Drosophila melanogaster: one gene and its partner. The gene in region 2 interacts genetically with the main gene of each other region. Each region holds a gene or a part of one and is shown on either strand. Other genes may lie near its edges.

Region 1 (9,287 bases), on a different chromosome or scaffold from region 2:
AGTTTGTTGATTCACCTGACCCTGGTTAGGTGCATTAGCTTGTGAGCTCGGTATGATTCGGGCTGTCACCAGCTGTCCGTCCATCTTCATCAAGAACGGAGCACCACCATAGCGCTCCATCATCATATCGTCGAGCTCGCCGAAATCCTCATCCTCCAGCTCCAGATCCGCCTCAAAGCCACCGCAATCGTCGTAGTTGATGCGGCGCGTAAATTCTACAAAGCTGTGCAGTCTCGTCGACAAAAACTCGCGATCCCTGGACTTCGCCGACGTAGTAGGACCATTATCAAAATCCAACAAGGCCCGGTACTGTGTGCTGCACTCATAGGCCATTAGAGTGTCGTACGGGGAACGGGCAAAGTTGATCAGTTCGTGGATGAAAAGGTCCGTATTGGCGCCAAAAAAGTGGATCATGGGCTTTCGGAACTCCTCGCTGTCCAGCTTAAGACGTGGAAGCAGATTCTTGATGGTCTCGTACAGATAGAAAATATCCGCCTTCCTGGTCCTGATCAGCACCGATACATCGCGGTTCACCCACATCATTACCCTATGAACCTCGAAGGGATTGAGACTACAAGGAAATGCAGAAATGAGAACATGGCTGAAATTTCCCTTATTTGTATTGGAGGAGGAAATTTTCACTCACCGGAAATATTCGGGGGACCAGCCGCGAAAGTCGCCCGTTTCACGATCCGGCAGAGAATATAGCGAATTGGCGTAGACATATATGCGCCATTGGACCATGTGCCGTGGCATCATTGTTGCTGCACTCCACGTGTCGACAATGTCGAAATTGTTCGAAGAAAAAACAGAAACAGAAACTTTACACGTGAACGAAAATTCCTGGAATTGTCAATCACAAATTCGATTTAATACTGATTTCACTGCTCACTGTCGCTCGCGAAATGGAACTTTTCCAGCTGTGCAATATGATACAGTATTTACCTTATAGGAATTAAACAATTAGCTCGTTCTTTAAACAATTCCAATTGAAACTCAGCGAAAAAGTTTTGCTTATTGCGCAGGCACAACGGCTCTGTGGCACGTTTTTATTTGGGGCGCATCTACACGATGCCTAATGTCAAGTGTGGAAAGTAAGGGACTGTTTAGACAATGCCATAAATTAACCTGCAAATCGTGACAAATCGGGACATCGGAAATCGAATATACTCTGAAATCACTGGAAACATTGAATTGAAACAAAATATGCATAAATTTAACAAAAAAAAAAATGCGCAAGGTGCCTATGCCGGGGGGCATCCTTGATCCAATGAGAATTACTTTTAGAACTTTACGAAATATGAAATGACACTTATTTATCTTTAATTTAATCTTTACATTTATTATGTATTTGATTCGTATTACAGATATCTTTTGTTCATTGTATGTTGAGTACACTAAAATTCATAACTGGCCACGCCCACTTATGCAAAAAACATTAACACCCTCCTCATACATTGATCAGCGCTAATTCTACGATTTAAAAGCTACGATAGTAAAGTTAGTTGCCATTGTTTATAGTTAGTTAGTTATAGATGCCGCTAACCTACGTGAATACATTTACAATCGATGTTCTTCAGGGGGATATTGAATGCGTCTTTTGATGTGGAAGGGGGGGGGTGGTATATGTATGTATGACAGAACATTTAAATAATGTTGGGATGGGTGTTTATATATGTATGTACAACTTAAAATGGCAATCTTAGGCCTACAATACATGAGTTACAATTACAAATATTATTTTATGGGGTTTGGGGATTTCAGGAATCGGAACAAGACAAGACGGAAACCAGTTAAACATTCCCTTACACTAGCAACTTAAATGAAAATCTAAATCAGTGGCTTATGCTTAATACGGCAGTAGTCCCTGATTCTCATCGTTTTCATCGTGGTTGTCGCTATCATCGTCGTCCTCCTCCTCTTCCTCTTCTTCCTCCGCAGCTTTTTCCTCTTCCTGGTCGTCTTCCTCTTGATCTTCATCCTCTTCGTCCTCCTCATCTTGTTCTTCGGTGGCAGTGGCTGTATCCTCGGCGATTTGCAACTCTGATTCGCCAACTACATCGATTGCGGCCTCCAGCGAATAGGCATCCCGTTCACGGCTGGCCTCCGGATCCGCATCTGTATCGAAATAGTTCTCTAGATTGGCGTCATCCGCCGCCAAAGTTTGTGGGCTGTCGCACAACGTGTTGCTCAGCATGCCCATGGAATTCTCTGCCGAATTATAATGCTCGTTGAAGAGTCCGATGTTCACAGGCTGCGTTAGAGTGGACAGTTCGATTAGGGAGTTGGCTATGTCGTGCTCTTCCATCGCCGGATGTCCGCGCATCAGCGGATCGCCGGAAAAGCCCGCTGCTCCCCAGGCAAACGAACTTAATGGAGCCGAGCTCGAGGTGGCTGTCGAACTGCTGGCCAAACTGGCACTCTGGCTGGACTGATTGCTGTGGCTGCAACTGCGTCGCCGTTTCGGTGCACTGCAACCCGGTTCGTTATCCTCTCTCGGCGATGGAGTCATCCGTGAGTGGAGGGGCCCCGCCTGGTCGTCATCCGGCAACTGAAGCTCCAGTTTTACAGGTTTCCTATCCTCCAGAGTTGCCTCCGCTTTTAGTGTGGCGCGCAAGGCACTGAGCTGCATGTTTACAGCGCTATCATCATCGGAATCGCTGCTGGATTTGTTGTTGTTCGTGTTGGGTTGACCTAGAAAACAAATTTGTGTAATTATACAAGTTTGATCTGATAGGATAATAAATAGTTTTTTGATTGTTTTTAGAGATCATTCTAGTGTTTTCCTGTTCAGAATGTGTGGTGTTATACATACATTCATACATGCTGATAAGAACCGTCTAGATTCACAAACCACTTACCGGATGACTCGCTGCTATCGCCACCTGACTCGTCATCGGACGAACTTGGACTGTCACTGCTGCTTTCCGGTTGGCGCTGGGGCTTCTTTTGGCTTATCTGCTGCTGCTCAAGCATTTCCATATTCTGGTCTTTGGCCTTCCGTTTACGAGATGTCCTTTTCCCGATTGACTCCTTTTTAGAGCGCTTATTATTCGCCACTCGCTTGCGTGACTTTTTCTTGGGTGGCTCGGAGTTGGTGGTACTACTGTCACTGCTATCCTCATCGCTGCTGCTGCTGAAGTGAAAGGAGGAGCTGCTGCAGCTGCTGGGGCTGCTGCCACTGTCACTGCGGGCAGGCATGGATGAACGGCGTGATTTCTTCGAACGTATAGAGCGCAGCGTGCGCAACTGATCGAGGCGCCGTGTCTGCGCCATGACCAGCTTCCAGTTCTTGCCTCTGTTGGCCGCTGCGCCACTTGTGCTGGGCCCCATAAACAGGCCCTGATCCCTGGAGGCCAGATCCAAAGGGGATTGTGTCGACCGGTTTTCGGCAATTGCGTCCGGCGCAGCTTCGTGCTGCTCATTTACGAACACCACATCGGAGTCACTATTTGAGTCAAGGCTCACCTGTTCGGGAGTGCGCATGTGTGGTGGCTTCAGCTCCAGCACAAAGACGCACTCATCCTCATCGCCGGAACTGCTGCTGCTCTCCAGTTCGATGTGCGCCGTCACTGGAAGAGTAGCACCTGCGTGTCTCCTACTGGTGTTGCTGCCATCATTGATGGCCGCCACCTCTGCATTTGCGGCCGCATCGCCGTCGTCGATCTCGATGACCTCTGGTTCCTCGCTGGCAACCGCCGCTGGGCGCCTCATGCTCAGGTTAATGGCAACCGTTTGTGAGCCCACATTGGTTGTACGGCGTATGGAAATCCCCGGCAGCTCACTGCCATCACTGGCCATTGTCACGCTGAAGGAATGTGTGGCACCAGGATTGGTCACAATCACACTGGTCGACGGGCGTACCCTAGGGGGGCTCCAATCCGGAGAGAAGCCAGCGTTTATAGCATCCGCATCGCTATCTCCGACCTCCAAATTCAGATCATCACCGTTCGAGGATTGTGTCTCCACCATGTCCAACAGATCCACCTCCACCTCCTCAGCCACTCGTGCCGAATACTGCACCACATGATCGTAACCGTTTATGTCATACGGGGAGCGGGCAAAGTTAAACAGTTCGTGGATAAAGTGACTGGTGCGCTCGCCGAGATACGGCGACAGCCGTCGACGGAATGTAGGACCTAGTAAGCTAGTCATGGGCAGGAGGTCGCTCATCAGAGTCATCACAGTATTTACGCTATGTGCGGCATTCCTCAGTAGGCACATGATGTCGCGATGGATCCAAGGCATCAGGCGATGAATCTGAGCAGGATTGTTTCTATAAGCAAGGATTTGAAATCGAAATCAGTATGGTTAAGTATGCGGTTTTAGGTATACGAACAGACCTGTAAAAACGGGCGCTCCACTCTCGAAAGTGTCCAGTCACGCTGTCGCTGACGGGCAGAGCATACAGCTTTCTATCGTACACATAACGTCGCCAGAGCTGGCTCAATGAACCCGACGTGGATGCATCCTGATCGTGCTGGTAGTAATTCATCAGCTCCGAGCGATACGGCTCAAAGCGGCTGTACGATCGCCTGCCAGCTGCTACTTCTGCCGCCGAAAGCACATCTTCACCAGCAGCTCCTGCCGCTATGGCCGCCTCGATGTCGTTGACAATGACGGCCTGGTTCTGCACCAGCGGCGTGTACCTGGGACGCCTCACAATGTGGTAACGTAGGGAGGGATTTTCTGTTGGAACCGGCGACGTAGTCTGCACCGGGTAGCGATCGTAGTCGTCCAGGGTGCGGACATTGTGTATGATGGTTCTGAAGGGCTGCTTACACAGTGGACACTCGGGCTTTATCTGCAATCGAGAATAATTAGATGGTTAAAATAATGGTTTACTCGCCTGCGGACTGGTTACCTTGCTCCACTCGCACAGGCACTTGAAGCAGAACTGGTGCATGCACGAGTCCGTGAAGCACTTCCTCCTGCAGCGGGACAAGCAGATGGCGCAATTGGGCGGCGGCGAGTTGCGCTCTACTGTTCCGTTCTCCTCCGCGGCGGATGCACTGGTGCCCGGCTCACCGATGGCGTTGGCATTATCCGGGCCAGCGGATACAGGTTCCTCGGCCTCGTTGTCTCCCGACTCACTGCCGCTCTCGGTGAGATCAGCAAACTTAATGGCCGCAGCCGGTAGCGTCCGGCCTCCGGCATTGGATCCTTCCAAACCAGGCTCCACAATCACCGATGCGCCCAACTCATCCACTCCCAAATAGGGCACGTTGGCGGCAAGAGCTCCGGGATTCTCCTCCGCCATTCTGGCGACTATATAGCGGCTATATGGGCTGTAAAATCGGCCGTAAGATGGGCGAGAACTCGGGCCTGAAGTTTTGTGTCTACTCTGTCCTCCTCTCTCTCTCACTCTGCTCCTCTCGCCCTCTCTCGCTCGCACTCGCTGGCTGGCACGCTACTCTATCATCTGGTTCGCAATTCGGTTCTCAATCCTCGTTTTCCAGCGGCCTTTTCCGGGCTAGGGGACGCATTATCCGTATTCTCTTGCGGTCTATGTGGTGGTCAGTGGCCTGTTCTGTAAAATAGCACAATTTTCGGGCCAGAAATCGCACTATATCTCAGTTAATTTTACACCTGAAAATGCAGGAAACTTGATTTTTTTGACCACTACGGTGATACCGTTCGTCGCGTACAGTTAAATGCTGCAGACCACGGAGATTGATATACTTTTGAATTACTTCAGAATACAAATTTTAAATAAAAAAGGTTTGGAAAATATGTTGAGTCAGCGGTTCTACTAGCTGTTCTACCCTCTGATTGAACTTGATTGAAAAAGCAGGACTAGCTTTGTTACAAAAATTACGAAATACACAAAAAATGCTTAAAGAACTAGACCAATTTATTTTATAAATTGAAATGTGATATTTTGAGAAAAATAAATATTTTTAGATGTATTACACAATCTTGTGAGATTGTGGCGCGGGTAAATTACAAATTCCAAGAAACTTCTTTTCGAACCTAGGAGAACCAAACAATTATTTTGATATTTTCTAAAATAGTTTGGTATTTCGGTTTTGGTATTTAATTTCGGAGCCTTAATTGTTTGTGTTATCGATAGCTCGTTGCTTTATTGCCTTTTTGTGGCGTCTGTTTCAATTTGTTTGTTTTCAATTGTTGGTCATAATTTGGATCCCCAAAATGAATCGACGCAACAAGCGGACGTCGTACTACCAATACGAAGTATACCTAGACTTCATGGAGGAGAATCCCCCGATGTCGGCCAACAAACTGAGTCGCACCCAGGACGGCAAGAAGTGGAAGGAGCTCAGCGATCTGCTAAACAAGTGCTCCACGGGTCCCACTTTGTCGCCCGAGGAATGGCGAAAGGTATGTTGTAACCAGTTGGGTATCGAGTGTACAAGCCCACAGTGTGTCATGCTTATAGCGCCTCAACGACTGGAAGAACAGCACGCGCTCCAAATACCGACGCAGCATCAACTCGGATGACAAGAGCAATGCAATGACTCCTCTGGAGAACAGAGCCCTGCAGATCTTCTCCTTAGAACCGAATTTTCGCGAGGGAATTTCGATGCGCCTGCACGAACTGATGGAGGAGCAAGAGGAACTGGATGAAGAAGAGAATGAGAACCTGGAGGAGTTGGTGGATGAGGAGGAGGAGGAGGAGGTGCAGTACCAGCAGTTCATAGCAGAGCCTCACGAGCAAGCCAACCCAACGATCATCAATGGTCACAGTGCCGCGAAAAAGCTAAGGCTCGATGGTTCCAGTGAGATTATCTACGAAGGTGGGTAGACGCAAATCTAATGTAAATACTAAATATCCTATAAAGGGACATAGCCTTGATTTCAGTCGCGGATGTCACATCTGATCAATCTGCCGCGAAAGAACCGTCTGCCTTCTATGGAGAGAAAATCCAGGAGCAGCTGAAACGCATTTCGGACATACACGAGGCATCGCTGCACTTTAAGATAGCCCGCTTCAAGTACAATAATCCCGGATTCGAGTACGTTCCGGAATTATAGCCCATGCTAGCCATGCACATTGATATAATGTATAATGTAATATAATATGTGAGCTCAGAGGGACCTGCTGATTTCGCCTCGAATTAAAAGCCGCGGAACGCTCAATAAGTAGTACAGTAGGCATTCGTTGAAAACAAATTCTTGAGTAGTGTGTACCATATACCAATTAGTCGTTTTTAAGACTGTTGTTATGCATATCGTTCGACGAAATACTTTTTGCACATATATTTTGAAATGTATTATTGATTTATATGAAACCGCTAATAAATATTGTGACAAATCATTTCTGAATCCGCATGTTTTTATTGCAACAAAATTGAATTATTTATTGCACATCTAGCCATAACTATCGCATGGCATCTAATTGCTTTTTTGGCTTCCCGCCAGATGCGCACCACTGGCGTGCCGAATGCAACCCTGCGCCAACAGCAACAAAATGCAACTAGAAAATCCCAAACGCTAAATGCGTAAATTGTTTGTGAACATCTCGCATCGCTTGGTGGCGTCGATTTGCATTTTAGGGCTTTTGCCAGCTATTTAAACACGGCATCGAGCACGCAGGCACAGAGCAAGGATACCCGGATGAACGGCAAGATGGACCGCCGCAAGAAACGCACCTCATCGGAGCAGTACCAAATGTACATCGACATGATGGAGAGCGACCCCATTTTCGCCACCGGACGAGTGCCGCGCGACTATGACCTGAACTACTTGACCAAAAAGTGGAAGGAGCTCTCCGACCGGCTAAACAAGTGCAGCTCCGGACCCACACTGACGCCGGAGGAGTGGCGCAAGGTACGAGTACCACTACATCACCCAAATAATGTTACCTCTAATCGCGAATTTCCTGCTCCACATACAGCGCCTAAACGATTGGAAGAACACCACTCGCTGCAAGTACAGACGCAGCCTTCTGTCCACGGAAAAGGACATCTCGATGACCTCCGTGGAGACGCGCGCTCTCGATCTCTTTGGCAAGGTGCCCACCACCGGCGGCGAAACGATGCTCAATCTGAAGTCCGAAAAGGATGAGCACGACGACGAGATGGAGGAACTGGGCCAGCGTACTTCGGTGGCATTTCAAAAGGAACTTCAGGCAGCCGTTGAAGAGGCAATCAACGATGAGGTGGACGAGGAGGAGATGGTGGAGGAGCATGTCGATCACGAGGACATGATGGAGGAGAATCTGGCGGAGACCGGCATCACCGCGTCCACAACGGCGGTCAATACGGGTGGCGGCACCTATCGCACCATCGTCGTGGACAACACATCCTTCGAGCATGTCGAGGAGGATCCCCAAACGGTGCAGCCGCACGCCGTCGAGTACGTCACATCCCGCAGGCCTGCTGCCCCCGTCATCAATCCGGGCACAGCCTCCTCCGGCAATAAGCTGATCAACGGCGAGCTGCCCGTCAAGCGGATGCGCACACAGCCCAGGGAGCAAATTATCTACGAAGGTAACTATGCCGTTTTACTTTGCTTAAGTTTAAGCAGTTAACATCACGTTTTTCCATATCTTTCAGTTAAAAATGCGCCGCGTTGCATTTCAAACATGCAGGCCGTGCCGCCGCTGCACAGTACAAAGCTGGAGCGGGAACCCAGTTCGCTGACAAGCGCGCTGAGCAGCAGCGATGCCCAGCAGATCGCGCACCAGCTGAAGCGACTGGCCGACATCAAATTCGAGACACTGCAATTTGAGATTGCGCGCTTCAAGTTCAACAACCCGGGCTTCCAGTACGATCCGCCGTCCTTATAGTGTCCCAAGCGGCAGGGCGAGATCAGTGGGTCTAAGCAGTCGGCAAAAACTCCAGCACCAGCAGAAGCCACGGCGAAAGGATCAGCATTAGCAAAAGCAATGGAACGAGTCAAGTCAGCTCGAATTGTATAGGTCTTTTACGAATGTGCTCTTTGGCACTCGAACGTTTTCTAGCTCTCCAAGTCCTGCGCTCCGCCGGAACACACACAAAACTGTAACTTATAGTAGCCAGATTTAAATTGACTAGTTTAAAATTGACATAGAATTCTATTGTGTAAACAGTTATTTTCAACTTTTCAAGCACTTCATCTACGATATCCATATATATGAAATAGGCATAAAATTGTAATATCTAAAGTGAAAAACAATTGGACAAGTAATTTTAACGCGTTGTATGTAAATGTTAAGAATAAAGTTTACCAATGATAAATATGCGCCGCACAGACGTGCTCCACCTTTTGCCTGTTGTTGCATTTTTAGAGTTTATTTATGACGCCGTGGCCAGAATCGAAGCCAACACGAAAAGTCCATTAAT
Region 2 (9,213 bases):
GTCATTTCTGTTCTTTTCTCTATCTTACCTTTTTTCGACTGACTAGGAATGAGATTGCGGATCACTTTAAAAGCTGCAAACCTGCAGCGGCGGTTTTTTATATTCAAATTGAAAATGCAAATTCTAAAAATCATCGACCCAAACTTATACGAAACGGAAGCCACAAATGGCAGCGTGAAATTAAAGGGCGTCTAACGTAAAATTAGCAACTCGTTTGGTTCCGCGGATTTATTGCATTTGAATAACTCAAATTATAGTCCCCACTGACTTTTATCTTAATATTTGTTTTGGCCACAAAAAATTTGAATGAACTGCTGCGGTTTTGCTTTATTTTTTGGCTTTATATATCATGGGGCCTTCCTTAACCGCAAATTAGCCACACGTAGGATATTCTTGTTTCTCGTTAAGCCGACTGCCTTCAGACAGTGTGGCGTGTTAATAGAGCAAGTGTTGTTTTGTTCACTTTTGGCGTTAAGTGCTTCGCACAGAATGCTTTTTGGGACTGTCCGTCCGTAATCACAAAGTATATAAATGCTGCCTGCTCTTTGTTCCTCTGTTTGTTTTTCGACAGTTTGACAAAATGCCCCGCCCGAGACTGGGAATATCAACAGTCGCCTGGTAGTGTAAATAAATAATTGCCGATGCACCGAAAAAAAAGCTCTAAATTTTGCCTTATGTGTATGTATGTATGCTGCAATTTCAAACTCATATTTTAAAGTTTGATTCTTCAAACTAATATGCACCCAAAAACAATTTTTATTGGAATTGTTAATTGTTAATTATGATTTTTAAAAAAGTGCTTACTAATTTGATACTTTCGAAAGTATAATAAATATTCTTTCCACGTTATAAATGACATATATCAAATGTCATAATATATTAAATTTATACTTTATAAAATATTTTCTTTAGTACATTTACATTTGTAGCATAAACAAGAGAGAACGCTATAGTCGAGATATACAATTTGCATGTATCTATAATGTAGAAGGAATCATAATGTTGTAATACCCATCGGATTTCTGCGCAATAGATTTGTATCATTAAAACTATTAATTATTATTAAATACATTATCACTTTCCCTGATTACACAACAAGGTGAAACTAAAAGGCGAAAATTAAAATACACTAACTAATATTGCGTATAAATTTACTAAGCTCTGTTTCAAGAACATTTCCGATATGTAAAAATTATATGCTTCGTCTACCGTTGTGCGTAAAAAAGGAAGCATTCTTTTACCATGCGTATTTTTTGTTTTATTTTTGCTGTGACCAAGAGTATGCAACACATAATATATACTGGCCAATAGAAGTCCCTCGCAAAAAAGTAGGCAATACAAGTAAGGAAATTAGGAAAATTGTAAAAAAAACACGATGACTGATGTGTGGTTTAATCAACTGTAGGTAGAGCTCTGACAACCCCAACAGAAGAAAGTAGGGATAGTAGCAGGTGGATCTAGCTTGCAGAAAACTAAAGTGATTGCTGGCAACCTTTTCTGATTTTAGTTGTGTTTGTGTATGTTCTCAAGTCCTATGATCCAGAAGATGCGAAACCCATCCATATGACAGATCTTGTGCATAGCTTTATCAACCTACTTTCTTGCCTGGTAGTAGTACTCCAGAAAATGTACAGTTGTTGATATATTTAGAATTTATGCATACTTACATTTTTTCCGCTTTTTCCGCTCAAGAAAATTGCGTAAACTCTTAACCTTCAAAAAAAAGTTGATTTATTGTTATTTTTTGCTTAACATAACTAGATAAAGTATTGATTTGCCACTTGCTCATACGTCATGTGGTTTTTTTAACCGCTGTTGCCCTATGTTGTTGTCTTTAAATATTCTTTACATCAATCGAGTGTGTGAGAATATACCCAAGTACCGTGTGTAGGATTATGTTAACCTTGATGCTGATGATGCCACCACCCAGATTGGCGGGCATTCACATAAGTTTTTAACCCACCATCCTGGCCACCCGGTTGGGCGGGTTGATGGGTGGGAAATAGATGGGGACCACTTGTCTCGTAATTTATGCCGTTGTGCTGGTTGAAAATATAGGCCTTTGGCACCTCCACTCCTGCAGGACCCACAGAATTTGTAGAGACACTAATACTGGAGACTACATTGCCTGAATTGGCGGGCAAATAAGTGCGACTTGGAGGAGGCGGCGAGGAAGCCCAGCTGGTCTGAGGTTTCTGTGGCAAGACAGGACGATATTGTTTCGTATATAACGGTGGACCCATTGGCAAAACGGCTTGTTTTGGTATTGAAACGGTATTTGGCGGCCCATAGGCGTTATTCCTCAAATCACACACAGTATTCTCAATTAAAGTGGCCAAGGGAGCCGTGTAAATTCGGAAATTAGTATCTGAATAATCCAAGTCAGACAGCAAGAAAACGGGCATCCTATCGGATAGAACCCAAACGTTTTTGTTCTCATCAATTTTCACATCGGCCGGAAAAACTAAGCCAACGTCATCGCGATCCACAATGCCATGAAATTGCGGTGAGTACGGCATTGATGAGTGCCAGCAACCCACTGCATTTTGATCTATTAAATTGAACAGCTCAATTCCATCATCGCTCATCACACGTGAAGTGGTATGGGAGTTTGGACCCCGTTCATCTAAGGCAACAAAGTCATGATAGCTATCTTCCGTCCTGGTTTCATCCCTCAAAATCCTCGTGGATACGGCAAATTGTCGATGACTTGCTAACGGACTAAAGTACAGGGTACGATAACCATCCGATCGAATGGGCGAAAGGGACATACCAAATATACCCTCCTCGCCCCATTGGAAGTTAATACCAGCGACATTGAAATCGCCCCTCAATGGATCGGGGAAAAAATACGAATGTGCCGAGAATCTCCAGGACTTGTTCAGTTCCCAGGAGTAAGCAATCAAGCCGTATCCCAATTCATCGGCAAAATAGGCATATGCATCATCGCAATTTTTGCCTATATCCACGGCAATGTTAGCTATGAAAGTATTTGGATTTGTGTCCACGCCAGGTAGCTCGTATCTCCGAATTCGCGTATCCGTGGTCAAGTCAAAGACATTTACCGCATAGGGGCACGGATTAGTGGTGGTATTGCCGATGCCCACGGTTCCAGTGTCCAAAACCCACAGCCGACCACACTCATCCACTTTAATGCGGTAGGCAGTGGTAATACTGTTGGCGCAATCTCCAGCTGTATTTGAGCGCCAATCTGGATACGGAATTAGCTCCGGTGAACCCGTCAAACTGCGGTCCATGTTTATATAGGTCAGAGTGGCCGGAATCCCTAAAAAATAAAATAGGAGAATTAGCAGGGCCAAACTATTATTGAGGCACTAAATAAAGTTTGTTTTGAATATTTAATTAACTGGAATTTCTGCCTAAATTCCTTCTTTGGATTATTATACTAAGCAATGTTGCAAGTTATCGCTGTCTGTTTTCTGGATAATATGTAAATGCATACAGATGTAAAGGTAAATTAGAATCGCTTATGTTTGGCATTTAATTATTTATATACCTATTTGTCATTATTTTGGACACAAGGAATCATAAGCAATGGTAACTGCCGTGCTAATGGCTCTTTTTTCTGCTTGTACATCTACTGGAAGTTTATGTTAAAAGATCCCCGGCTATATGTACTTCAGTCATAATTGGCACTATTGCAAGTTGCGTGCAATTTGCGATGTCATTAGCCGTCTGAAGCAATTGCGTCTGACATCATTATCAATATGTATACCATATATCGCTGTTAAATGTATATGTGGCCATTGGCAGTATTTCGACCGATTTCCGCTCCAGTTCTTTTCCTTCTTTATTTCTTCGTTAATTGAATTTAAAGACATTTATTGTTTCTGGGAACTTTTAATGTTTTTATAGCAGGCGAGTGAGACTGCAACGACCAGAAAATATAGCTTTTATCGATTTACCGACCCATCTTCTTAAAAATCAAACCAGGCGTTTTTGCTTTACAAAGTAACCGGGGGTTGCGATAAATATACATTTGAGCATAATGCACCTTTCAATCTTTATTTAATTCATAACTTTTAAAATAACAATCTAATTCAGTCAAATATAAAGTATTTGAACAAATTTATATTTTGACATGTGCTCTTTCAGTCCTAAAACCTCGCAACTGACAGATTTATCTGCTTCATGATTTTCAACATTTTCATTGTAAACAATTTTTTCGACTGTCTTGAGGTTCTCCTTTTCCAAAGAAATATGTCTCAACATTTTTTTCATTCAGATATTTTTTCTAATCTTATTTGTAATTAAGATGAACTTTTAGCTTGGAATGGGCCGCAAATATCGTTGATGTAGTAGTTTATGCGTTCACTCGTTGACAAAAGCTAAGTTGATCAACTATCGAGTAGCTCAATTGACTGGGGTATATTATTCAATGGCTGGTGGCCTAATGAATCTGTATGAAATACGTGAGCTGAGTCGATATCGGAAAATGTTGGCAATTCTGTGTTTTAGTTTCAGAATCGGATACAACTTCCCGATCGGAATCCGATTTTGATTTTGATATTTCACACTTGATTTTAAACAGTAATCTTGTCCCGTAGCTAGTTGTCGCGATAACCATGGGCTTTTTTAAATCAAAATTTATTTACTCAAATCTTCATAGAATAGTTTTTCCAATTGAGCCCAGCATTGGTGGTCAATGATAATATTTATAATTAATCATACCCCATAACTGTCACTTATAGGTATTCTGTAGCCTGTTGTTGCCACTACCGATTTGCTTTGACTAATTGATTTGCTTCGATGGCCATTGAAGCATGCCTTTAAATGTTCCACTTTGCCACAACTTTCACTATGTTTTGTTTGCCGTAACTTGGGGTTTATTTTTTGCCGATTCGGCCTTCTGGGCTATTATTTCATTGACTGGAGGTAGTCAGTCGATATCTTTTTAAAAAGAGACCTCAAGGCTGGGCCAGAATATTTTGATATACTTAATAATACAATACCATTACATTATAAGTGACATTAAGATATCCTTGAAGAGCGTGTTTTTTTAAGTTTAGTCAGAAGTTTGGGTGTTTCGGACTGCTTAAGAACATATGTACAAAATTTATTAACATCGCCGTGTTTTTCTGTGTAAATACCAATTGTAAGCCATGCATAAAAACTAATCAATCATCGAAAGCATTCCTAGACGTACTGAAGTATTTGTATGCGCATCATATAATCTTAGCAATTGGGTTTTTTAGTTTCATTGCTTTTTAAAATTTCCTAGTTTTGTGTTTCAACTATTTCATAAAAATTTTGATTATTGTGTAAGCCAAATAATTTTGAAGCAAAATCATTTGTGTGATTAATAATAAAACGTGAGTCACAGAACAATGCCTTCGCATTTAAACATTTCGCCACTCTTACATTTGTTGAACTGACAGCTAATCGTCGGTTAATAGCTAATGCCATAAGTTATTGTTTGTGATTGGATTTCCATTTCTATGTGGCGGCCCTGAAGAAGTCTTTACAATTCGGATGGTAATATAATACAATTTAATACAGTATAAAGCCAATGCCATGCTATTGGCTTCGATTTTACAACGGTTAATTGTTTAAAATGTTAAAATAACGCGCAGGTACCAACCGGATTTATGAGAGGTCGCCACGCTAAAACCTTTACATGAGGGTGCTCTCAAAATATATTGTCATATTTATTCCTCTGCCAAAATGGTGAAAAGGCATACAAATAAAAAAATACATTTTTCGTCTGTACTAGTTTAAAATTAAATTGTACAAAACAATATTATTTTCTAAGAAGGGTAGAAAGACAAAAAAATGTTCTCCAAATTCTAAAATAAATAACAAGCTCTTATTTGAATACCTAAACTAAATGAATTTTGTGTTTTTACATCATGTCAAACAAGCCATATAAAACTGTCAACCACTCAATCAGATATCTCTGATGCCCTAAGTAAGAATGTCCCATTTACGATCTCCCCAAGGGCTTCATATTTAACTTCCACTTACCATCACGCCAGCGGGGAACAGTGACGAATAACCGATTGCCAAAGTGTTCGACTCCAACAGGTAGAGCATTTTGCGGAATATAATCTCCACTAGCCAGAGCTTGGTCCTTTAGTCGGGTATTCGGGAAAGCAAAGTCCAGCTGGCTCCAACTATATCGCTCCTGAAGTTTGTAAGCAGCCCAAGACGGCGTCACCAAGGTGATCAGGGTCACAAGGATCCACCCTTTGTCCTGGAACAGTGCACTTAGCTCTAAGCTGACAATCACTCTTAACACTTAAGCCAAAGTGTGTTGGCAATAAAAAAAAATATATTTGTTTATATATGTTCAGCTATAGGGGGTTCTTCTCTAGCCTTCGGCTGTGTGATATTTTTTTAATCCTCTTCTGTGGACCGTGGCGCGGTAACGACTGGTGGCCATAATATGTCGGCCGCGTTTTATATGAAGTTTTTTTTCTCCGAAGACGAAGACAGGCCAATGAAAATGAAAACGAAGGCGCGCGCCAACTTCGGTGGTTTTAGTGATTCGGGTGGTTCAGTGTTCGGGTAATCAGGTGGCTTATGCTGTTCCCATAGATCGGCCAACTTTGCGTTTTGTCTTCCATGATTGATTTTCACGCATGTTTAATAAATACACTCGAATCCCCCAATTTAATGAGTCAGACATCACCTTTCGCTGGGTTTGGTATGATTTTTGGCCTTCATCGACATTTAAAACTGCGCTGATTTGTGCCGAAATACCTTTCGGTACCCTAAAAGATTAAGACCTATTTTAAAGTTGTGACTACTATTTATTTAATTTTAGGGACTTTATTTGACGATCTAATTTCAAACAAGTAAATTGTAAGGCCAGGAGGCTCGTGCATAGAATGCATTGCTCTCCAAATTTCTGAAAATCTGAAAGCTTAATACATGACAGTTGTGTTCTGAGAACAGTGTTCATCTTTATCGGCGACTGCAAAAAATGTTCTAATATGATTTTTTAGTTCAATTCATTAAAAAAATCAAATCAATATTATATGAAATACATGCAGACAAAAATCCAGAAATATCAAATAAATCGTTATTATAACGTGTACTATGTAGAGTATTTAAAGCAGGTGTTTCCTTGTATACTATTAAATTGGAACTCGTGCTCGTTTCAATTGCTTAGGATTGGATTTCGATTGGGCGTCACCGATGATTCACAATTCACTGAGGGTCAAATATTTGGTTTCCGCTAGTTATTGGCAGGTGATTTTGAGCATACATATACATAAATATAATTGAGTGTTACATAAAATTTCAAAAGGGACGAAAGCGCTTTTAGGTAATTCCACTAGCTGTTATTTAAAATATTGTGGTCCCTGAAAATCAACTGGATGTTGGGGGTGCCCTAAGTGGGTAATGCTCTAATGACCATCGCCGCAAGTAAATGTTAAAAATTCGAACCGAAAGCGATCGCATATATCTCTTGGCCCAAATGCACCTGCTTGCTAAAGAAAAAATTGCAAAACTTAAGTAAAGTAATACAACCAGCCACACGCATAATAAACATGCAAATGGGTAAAAATACGTTTTACGACCTCCGCAGATAAAGTGGTTTGCATTAATCCTCAATAATCTACACTTTAAATAAGGAAAACCTCTCAAAATATTAAAATACAAATTAAAGAATGCCGTTTAAATTTAATCTTATTTCTTCGGATGTCTAAAAACAATTTCAAAGCTAATGTAACCATTACTGCTATTGAATTTGTGTAGTTTTTGGACTCTATATCATTTATGCAATGCTATTTTTTCTTAGAAGTGGTTCAACTTGATCCCTTGCCCGCATTCTAAATCATTGCACCCACAGAAAAATAAACAAACACGGTGTGGCAATCGAAAAATATGTTGCACAAAATTACCGGCAATGCTGCTCGAATTTATTGCGATCGGCAGGCTTATTAAAAGACACACTTGAAATAACCAGTACAGTTTTATTAATTAATTGTGTGTGTTGTGTAATGAAATGGTGTATTTACTAAAAACGCAACTAATGATGCGATCGCTGCAGCCGTTGAACCTATAATTTTTTTCGAATTGACTTGTTTTCAAGTTTTTGCTTAATTGTGTGGGGGGATGCTGCGTTTGTCTGTTTGGTTACTGTTTTTCTTTTTCGCTTTTCAGAGCTTGCGGCAATGATTTATACGCACTTTTCCCAATAATTGAAACAAGTTTTCTGCCCCAGCACAAAACAAAACAACATCAAGCGGAGCGCGCTAAGTGGTCAAAAAAAGCTTCCACAAATCAGATCTCTTTGGCATAATTGACTAACGCTTATGCAACCGACCGGCAACATTCGACATTATTTACACACAGGATCACTTCAACTTGGGCGGAAAGCAAAGCCGAATACCGCATGACATTGCCCGACCCGTGTTTCATGTTTTATTTTCCTTATTCCCCACTTATGGCAGCCTGGACATTATCTCCCTCCCTCCCCTCCCCCCTCCTACACTAATTTGGAAATCCATCGTGACTGCAAAACGAAAAACCCGTTGCTCAACTTCTCTAACATAAGCGGTACACAGCATTTTCCGTTTTGTGTTATATATTTTTGTGTTTTTTTTTTTTTCAAGTTCAATGTCCATGGCCCTGACCGCCGGGTCCCCTCCTTTCGAGCTGGGATTATTTGGCATGGCCAAATTCGGAAGGCCGCGATCACTTCCCGCTTACACACAATTGCACATGTCCCCATGACATGCACTGCGCTCAAACTATTAGTACCCCTTAGTAACTTAAGCCAAATTAAAAATAAGTTCATTAATATAAATAAAATAGTCAATTTCCACTGTCCCGATTGAATAGAGAAACTTTATTTGTAAATTTTAAATGTCGCCAAGGAACTCGCTAGATATACTAAACCAAAACCGATTGTAGCTCCCGAAATCGCAACCATAAGTGGAATAATTAGATGCCAACAAAGGCTTTGTTTGCTTACTGAATAAAGGTTGTCGTAATTTGATTTCTGTGTAATCTTGCACGAAACGGAATCATTACCTCAGACATAATTTGCCTGCAATTGCGGTGGTGCACTTGTCTCGTGCAAGCGAAAAAATCAGTGCTCGAAAAAGCTTAGTGGATATACTCGTACATATACTATGAATCGTTTAGAGGGGTAGGTAAATCAGCGGGCTGCGTTCGAAATTTATGAGTGACTCTGCGACGTATTTATCTTAAGCCATCGTCAGTTGCATATTTTATGGC

The links.
Region 1: of y (region 2) and Topors, changing one suppresses a phenotype caused by changing the other (phenotypic suppression), as found in Drosophila melanogaster (one study listed by BioGRID).

The regions. Positions count from the first base shown.
Region 1 is NT_033778.4:18,969,300-18,978,586, reverse strand, and holds Topors (topoisomerase I-interacting protein), read right to left. Parts: upstream 5,976-9,287; 5' UTR 5,649-5,975; exon of another isoform or gene 5,590-5,648; 5' UTR 5,261-5,589; coding exon 4,865-5,260; intron 4,805-4,864; coding exon 4,344-4,804; intron 4,277-4,343; coding exon 2,862-4,276; intron 2,695-2,861; coding exon 1,850-2,694; 3' UTR 1,325-1,849; downstream 1-1,324. Other genes in the region: CG18605 (uncharacterized protein), read right to left, coding at 1-571, 647-759; CG15107 (uncharacterized protein), read left to right, coding at 6,154-6,342, 6,401-6,758, 6,812-6,996; prod (proliferation disrupter), read left to right, coding at 7,579-7,791, 7,859-8,453, 8,520-8,752. UniProt on the Drosophila melanogaster protein: Functions as a ubiquitin-protein E3 ligase. Negatively regulates the transcriptional repressor hairy/hry by promoting its ubiquitination and subsequent degradation. Also directs the nuclear organization of the gypsy chromatin insulator.
Region 2 is NC_004354.4:353,690-362,902, reverse strand, and holds y (yellow), read right to left. Parts: upstream 6,395-9,213; 5' UTR 6,224-6,394; coding exon 5,986-6,223; intron 3,287-5,985; coding exon 1,899-3,286; 3' UTR 1,658-1,898; downstream 1-1,657. UniProt on the Drosophila melanogaster protein: Controls the pigmentation pattern of the adult cuticle and larval mouth parts.